2 linked regions of the Sus scrofa genome follow. The protein of the gene in region 2 purifies or fractionates together with the protein of the main gene of each other region. This does not show direct contact. Links are inferred from orthologs where the notes say so. Each region holds a gene or a part of one and is shown on either strand. Other genes may lie near its edges.

The links. Proteins that work in one complex are often made in the same cells at the same time.
Region 1: the proteins of RNF123 (region 2) and UBAC1 purify together in Homo sapiens (affinity purification with mass spectrometry; 7 studies listed by BioGRID and IntAct, counting the BioPlex papers as one, with this or other methods). This does not show direct contact. The link is inferred for Sus scrofa from reciprocal best matches to the Homo sapiens genes RNF123 and UBAC1.

Annotation. Positions count from the first base shown.
Region 1 is NW_018084833.1:1,669,670-1,672,784, forward strand, and holds the end of UBAC1 (ubiquitin-associated domain-containing protein 1), read left to right. Parts: intron 1-1,080; coding exon 1,081-1,167; intron 1,168-1,665; coding exon 1,666-2,115; 3' UTR 2,116-2,211; downstream 2,212-3,115.
Region 2 is NC_010455.5:32,238,536-32,242,626, forward strand, and holds part of RNF123 (E3 ubiquitin-protein ligase RNF123), read left to right. Parts: intron 1-3,643; coding exon 3,644-3,821; intron 3,822-4,091. UniProt on the Homo sapiens protein: Catalytic subunit of the KPC complex that acts as E3 ubiquitin-protein ligase. Promotes the ubiquitination and proteasome-mediated degradation of CDKN1B which is the cyclin-dependent kinase inhibitor at the G0-G1 transition of the cell cycle.

The DNA.
Region 1 (3,115 bases), on a different chromosome or scaffold from region 2:
CGCAGCTGGCGGCGGCTGTGTTGGGCCCTCCGAGCAGCAGTCAGGCGGCCTGCAGGCTGGCCGCACACGTCCACCAAAGGGGGGTGAGGTCAGAGCACGGGGCTGTGCGGTGTCCACACGCCGACCCTGGGCTGGCAGCGCCCACAGCCCCCACTGTGAGCGGTCGAGGACAGAAGGTGGCAGAGGCTTAAATCGCGTGGTGTGAGCTGCCGAGAGTTCAGAGAAGCCCGAGAGGCTTTGAAAAATCTGTTACCTTTTTGTGCAGAGCCGACCCTTTCAGAGATTGTGCGCTAAAGTCGGGGCAAAGCGAAGGGTGTGTTGTCCTGTTGGGGATTTTTTGTCCTGAAAACGTACATCCGTCCAACCCCCAAACGTTGGACATGGGGTCATTGTTCCTTCCAAAAATTAGCACGTGTTTATGCTTAAATCTCATTAATTGCGTTTAGCATTAATCTTAGTTTCCGTTTTTAAAGATAAAATGTGAAGGAAACCTTTTTCTTTTTTTTCTCTGTCTTTTAGGGCTGCGCCTGCGGCATATGGAGGTTTCCAGCAGGGGTCGAATTGGAGCTGTAGCCACTGGCCTGCACCATAGCCACAGCCGCGTCTGCGACCTGCACCCCAGCTCACGGCAACGCCGGGTCCTTAACCCACGGAGCGAGGCCGGGGATCGAACCTGCATCCTCATGGATGCTAGTCAGGTTCCTTGCCACTGAGCCCTGACAGGAACTCTGAAAATGCTGTTTCTTATGAAAATGACGGGCGTTTTGTCTGCACTGAAACGGAATTGCTCGTGCGCCCCTTTTCCCCGACACTCGCCCTGGATCGAGTGAAGGCCGTTGTGCCCGCAGAGCCGGGGCTGCCCCAGGGGGACCCGCGGCCCGTCCGCCCGCCCGCCTCTGGGCGGCAGGCAGACCCTCACCTCGGCGCTGCGTCTCCCTGTGGTTCAGAAAACCAGGAAGCGTGCGGCCGAGGCCGTAGGGAAAGGGTTTTCGGAGAGCAGCCCCGGCGGCGTTTTAACCCAGCCTCTGCCAAGCGCCCAGACGCTTCCGGGCGCGGCCTCAGCCGGTGCCTTCTCCCCAGGCCGTCGTCTCCCTGATGGAGATGGGCTTCGACGAGAAGGAGGTGATGGACGCCCTCCGGGTGAACAACAACCAGCAGAACGCCGCCGTGAGTAACACCGCCGGGCGCCGGCGGCGGGTGCCCTGGGCTTTGCGGCAGGCAGGGCGCCAGGTGGGCGGCGGCGCCGAGCTCTCGGGCCCCGGGAGGTTCTCGCTTTGCCCTCAGAAGCCAAGCGCGGTGCTGGGGCTGAGGGACGGGTTGGTGGACTTCGTTCCACTAGCGCCAGGATGGACCCGTGCCCAGCGCGGCGGGGAGCTGCCCGGGAGGGGCTGGGGCGGCAGCTTCGCCCACTTGCGGGGTCAGAGCCGGGCAGTGGCCAAGCAGTTGGGAGACAGAGAGGCCTGGACCTGGGGGACGCCCAGTCCTGCCCGGCCGCTTCCCCGCAGCAGAGCCCAGCGTTCTTAGTTCCTCTCCCCATCCCGTTCGCTGGCCGGGTGGGCTGCCTGCCGAGAAGACCACCCTGGGAGCCGGCCGGGAGCTCCAGCTGCAGCGCTTGGGGTCGGAGGGGGTCCGGGGACACTAACGGCTGCCGCCCTCTGTCCGCAGTGCGAGTGGCTGCTGGGAGACCGCAAGCCCTCTCCCGAGGAGCTGGACCAGGGCATCGACCCCGAGAGTCCCCTCTTTCAGGCCATCCTGGACAACCCCGTGGTGCAGCTGGGCCTGACCAACCCCAAGACGTTACTAGGTGTGTGCCTTCTCTCTGCTGGTTCGGGCGGGCCCGGCAGCCACCGCACAGATGGCCCTGCTGATATTGCCGTCACCACCCCCGGTAGCTCCTGCCACGAGTGCCGCGTGGGGCCCGGAGATTGGGCCCTGCTCGCAGTGGGACAGCCGCCTATGCGGTGGCTCTGTTCAAGCTTTGATAAACCAGTTAAAGTGGATGATCCAGGCCGGCAGTGTAGACAGCAACGCAGGGTAGGGCCGAGCTTGAGGGCCTGTTGGTTGACTGGCTCTTACTCCTGTGAGGCGTTCCCGTGGCATTTTTTTCGACTGTGATGTGTATACGTACGGAAGGGTCTGTGCCTTTAAGAGTGTTATGCTTAAAGAGAATAATAAAACCAGCAACCGGTACCTGCTGTTCAGCTTAAAAAACCCGGATTTTTAAAAGCCAGCGCAGCCCAGGCCCCAGGGGCTCCCCTCCCCCCGCTGTGAGTGGCCCGAGAGCCTCCCCCGGGCCCTGCTGCCCGAGGCTGGTCGCTGCCTCTGTGTTCCAGGCAGGCTCCGCTCCGGCCGGGCCTCTGTTCTAGAGAACTTCATCGCAAGGCGGTGCCAGGACTGGCCGCTCTGCTCTGCGGCCATGGCACCTGCTGGTTCCTTGCCTGCCCGGCTGCCCTGCGCCCTCCGTGGCCCGCGGGAGGGTTTCTCTAGGCCGCCTGCTTCAGGCAGGGCTTACCAGGCGGCCGTGAGTGTGCTGAGCCCGTTCACCAGGAAGGTGGCGCACGTCCACAGCGGCTCAGAGCCCTGGTCCCTGGCCCCCCAGGAGCAGCCTCCCAGCGGGCACAGGTGCTCCTGCCTGCCTGGCCCTTTGCCTGACCTCAGAGGCCAGTCTGCTTCCAGCAGTTGCCCGCCGTCGGCCCCTCTGCCCGCAGTTGTCCTCCTCTCATCCAGGCGCTTCTTCCCCGCACGCTGATCCCGTCACTGTGCAGACTCCGCTGCCTTCTCCCCTCGGTGAACACACGTCCTGCTCTTGAAGCAGCTGAACGTTCCTGAGTCCTGGAGGAGGGCCCGCTGGTCCCACGGTCAGGAGACCTTCTCCTCTCTCCTTTTCTAGTGGTTTTTTGGTTTTTTTTTTTTTTTGCTTTTTAGGGCCGCACCCGAGGCATATGGAGGTTCCCAGGCTAGGGGATGAATCAGAGCTACACCTGCCAGCCTACGCCACAGCCACAGCAGTGCTGGATCCGAACCACATCTGCGACCTACACCGCAGCTCATAGCAATACCGGATCCTTCACCCACGGAGCAAGGCCAGGGATCGAACCTGCGTCCTCAGGGATCC
Region 2 (4,091 bases):
TATTGTTTGCATATAGAAATGAAATTGATATTTTTGTCTTTTTTAGGGCTGCACCTGCAGCATATAGAGGTTCCCGGGCTAGGGGTTGAATCAGAGCTGTAGCCACTGGCTTATACCACAGCCGAAGCAATGTCAGATCGGCCTACACCACAGCTCGTGGCAAGGCTGGATCTTTAACCCACTGAGCGAGGCCAGGGATTGAACCTGCGTCCTCATGGATGCTAGTGAAATTTGTTTCTGCTGTGCCATGATGGGAACTCCTGCAATTGATTTTTATGTATTGATTTTTTAAATTTCCTGAATTCCTTTATTAATTTGAACAGTTCTTTTGTGGGATCCCTTTTTTTTCTTTTAAAGTATAGTTGATTTGTGATGTGCCAATTTCTGCTGTACAGCAAAGTGAGTCATACATATAGACGTTTCTTAAGTAATATTTTCCGTTATGGTCTCTCCCAGGAGATTGGATCTAGTTCCCTGTGCTATATAGTAAGACCTTGTTGCTTATTCATTCTAAATGAATACTTTCTATCCCACTAACCCCAAACTCCTAATCCATGGCACTCCTTCCCCTCTCCCCCTTGGCAACCACAAGTCTGTTCTGTATGTCTGCGAGTCTCTATTTTGTAGATAGGTTCACTTGTGCCATATTTTAGAATCTATATATAAGTATATAAGTGATATCATATTGTTTTTGTCTTTCTTTTTCTGATTTCACTTAGTATAATAGTCTCTAGTTGCATCCATGTTGTTGTGAATGGCATTTTTTTTTTAATGGCAGAGTAGTATTACATTGTACATATGTACCGCATTTTCTTTTCTTTCTTTTTTTTTGTCTTTTCAGGGCCGTACCCATGGCATATGTGGGTTCCCAGGCTAAGGGTCCAATCGGAGCTGTAGCTGCCAGCCTACACCAGAGTCACAGCAATGCGGGATCCGAGACGCATCTGCTACCTACACCACAGCTCATGGCAATACTGGATCCTTAACCCACTGAATGAGGCCCGGGTCGAACCTGCCACCTCATGGTTCCTAGTCAGATTTGTTTCCGCTGCGCCATGATGGGAACTCCAGCTGTCTCACATCTTTTAAATCCATTCATCTGTTGATGGACATTTAGGTTGTTCGCATGTCTTGGCTGTTGTGAATAGTTCTGGAGTTCTCTTGTGGTACAGCAAGTTAGGGATACAGTGCTATCACTGAGTGACTTAGGTTGCTGCTGTGGCAGGGGTTCAGTCCTTGGCCCAGGAACTTCCATATGCCACAGGTGCAGCCCCTCCCCCCAAAAAAGGAAGATACTGTGAATAGTGCTGATATGAGCATAGGGGCTGCATGTATTGTTCCGAATTATAGTTTTGTCTGGATATATCCTGAGGAGTAAGATTACTAGATCGTATTTTTAGTTTTCAGAGGAGCTTCCTTTGTTTTCTGGGTTTTTTTTTATGGTCACACCCATGGCATGTGGGAGTTCCCCAGCCAGGGATTGAATCCATGCTACATCTGCAGCAATGCTGGATCCTTTAACCCACTGCACCCGCCAGGAATCAAACCCGCACCTCCACAGTGGCCTGAACCACTGCAGTCAGATTCTTAACCCACTGTGCCACAGTGGGAACTTCTTTATACTGTTTTCCATAGTGGTTGTACCAATTTACATTCCCACCAAAAGCGTGGGAGGGTTCCCTTTTCCCCACACCCTCTCCAGCGTTTGTTATTTGTAGACCATTACTATGATGGCCATTCTGTCTAGTGTGAGGTGGTACCTCACTGTAGTTTTGCGATTTGCTGTTCTCTAACAATTAGCAGTGTTGAACGTCTTTCACGTGCCTGCTGGCCATCCATATGTCTTCTTTGGAGAAACTTCTGGTTAGTTTTCTGCCCATTTTTCAACTGGACTGTTTGTTTTTTGTTGTTGAGTTGTATGAGCTGTTTGTATATTTTGGAGATTAAACGCTTCTGGGTTGCATCATTTGCAAATATTTTCTTCTAATCTGTAGGTTCTCTTTTTTGTTTATGGTTTCCTTTGCTGTGCAAATGCTTGTAAGTTTAATTAGGTCCCACTTGTTTATTTTTATTTTTGTTTCTTTTTGTGGAATCTTTAGGGTGTTTGTTCTCTGTATGAGATCATGTCATTTGCAAACAGATAATTTTACTCCCTCCTTTCTAATGTATATGCTTTTTACTACTTTTTCTTTCCTAATTCCGGCTAGAACTCCCAATACTGTATTGAAAGAAGTGGTGAAAGCAGATAGCCTTGTCTTGTTCTTGAGCTTAGTGGGAAGCCTATCATTCTTTGACCATTAAGTATGATGTTAGCTGTGAACCTTTCACACTGCAGCCTCTATCATGTTGAACTGCCTTTTTTGCTTCTGCATCTTAAGTGCTTACACTTTTGCCTCCTGCTCATTTAGTTTCTCCCATTAGTAAAAGTCCCTGGTGCCTTTCCCTGACTCTGCATCTGCTCACAGCACCCACTCTCTCCCTTCCTTGTGACTTGCCTTCCTCATCTTCCCTCACTTGTGGCCCAGCTCAGGCTCCTCTGCTTCTCTGAGAGTCTTGCAGCGTGTCTGTTGAGCTCCCCCCTCCCTTTGTGGACACACCTCCTCTCCCATTACAGTGGCCCTTGGCCATCCCCTCCTCAGATTCTTGGCCTTCTGGTGCCGGCTTCCCGCAGGCCTCCTGGCCCATGGCCCTTGTGCACACCTGGGCTCAGGCCCACTCTGATTTCTTGCTTACATCTTCCCAGGCTCCCAGGTTTGAGATCACATCAGAGAGTTGGTGGAAAGTGCAGATGCTTTTTAAGAGATGTGGGTGCTCTGGGCCTGGACTGGGGTCTAGGGCCTCATTCTTGTTGGTGACCCCTCCTGGGCCCTTATGTGGGATCCTGATAGACTGTCTAGAAACCATACAGTGTGGAACAGTGCCCTTGGCAGGTTTTATCTGCTTATTGTGGCCTCTGTTCCACCAGCGGGCACGCTGCCTCTGGATTTCACAGCACCTTCTCCTTTGAGCTCCAGACCAAATTTATACTTGCCTCCTCAACATCACTGCTTTGGGGCAGCTAGGCACCTCATGCCTCCCATGTCCTAAGCCACATCCCCTCTGCCCCTCATCAGGCCTGCTTCTCCTCCAGGCCTGTGACCTCCACGGAGACCCCATCCCCTTTCTGAAATGTGGGCCCCACTCTTGTGGTAACCGTTCCCTTGCCCCAGCAGCCCAGTGGTGCATCCCCATTCCTGGACACCCCATCCCTCTGCTGTCTCAGGCCCAGATGAGGCTGTAGCTTTGTCACTGCCTTGTCCTCACTTGCCCCTGCAGCCCCTTCTGATCTGGGCAGTGTTGCAACCCAGGCTTCTGGTCATACAGTACCTTCTTGATTAAAAACTTGTGTGTCTTACAGATATGCAAACCAGAGTTCTGGTTTATTCCAGGTGGTAGTGCTGCCCTGTCCAGGCTGGGTGGCTCTTCTTGATCCCCCAGTGTGGTACTCAATCACCCCTACCTGTGCCACTGCTCCTGCTTCCTAGAATCCAGTTCTTAGTTCTCATGGCATGTTCCTGGGAGGCCTTTGCTAATCCCCAGACTGGGCCATGCCCCCATGACCTTTCCCCTCAACAGCCCCCCTCGCCCTGTGTGCCTCCCGCAGGAGAAGATGCAGGACATCTATTGGCTGCTGCGTGTCTGCCTGCGGACCATTGAGCATGGCGACCGCACGGGTCCTCTCTTTGCCTTCATGCCTGAGTTCTACCTCAGTGTGGCCATCAACAGCTACAGCGCTCTCAAGAATTACTTTGGCCCTGTACACAGCATGGAGGAGCTCACAGGTGATGGGCCGTTCAGCCTGGGAAGGGACAGAAAAGGGGGCCTTTGGATTGAACCCCCGTGGCCCGGCAGCACACATGCACTTGGGGAGTAAGAAGGCAGCTCCTACTCTGCTCTGCAGCATCATGCAAGCACTTGCAAAAGTCCCACATGGTGGTGAGCTCTGCCCTAGTACTGGCAGCCTAGCACTTGCAGCTTCTCTCTGGTGTGGGAGGAAAAGAGGCAGAATGGAGTACAGGGTGTGGGGATACCTGCCGCCTGCCCCACCCTGG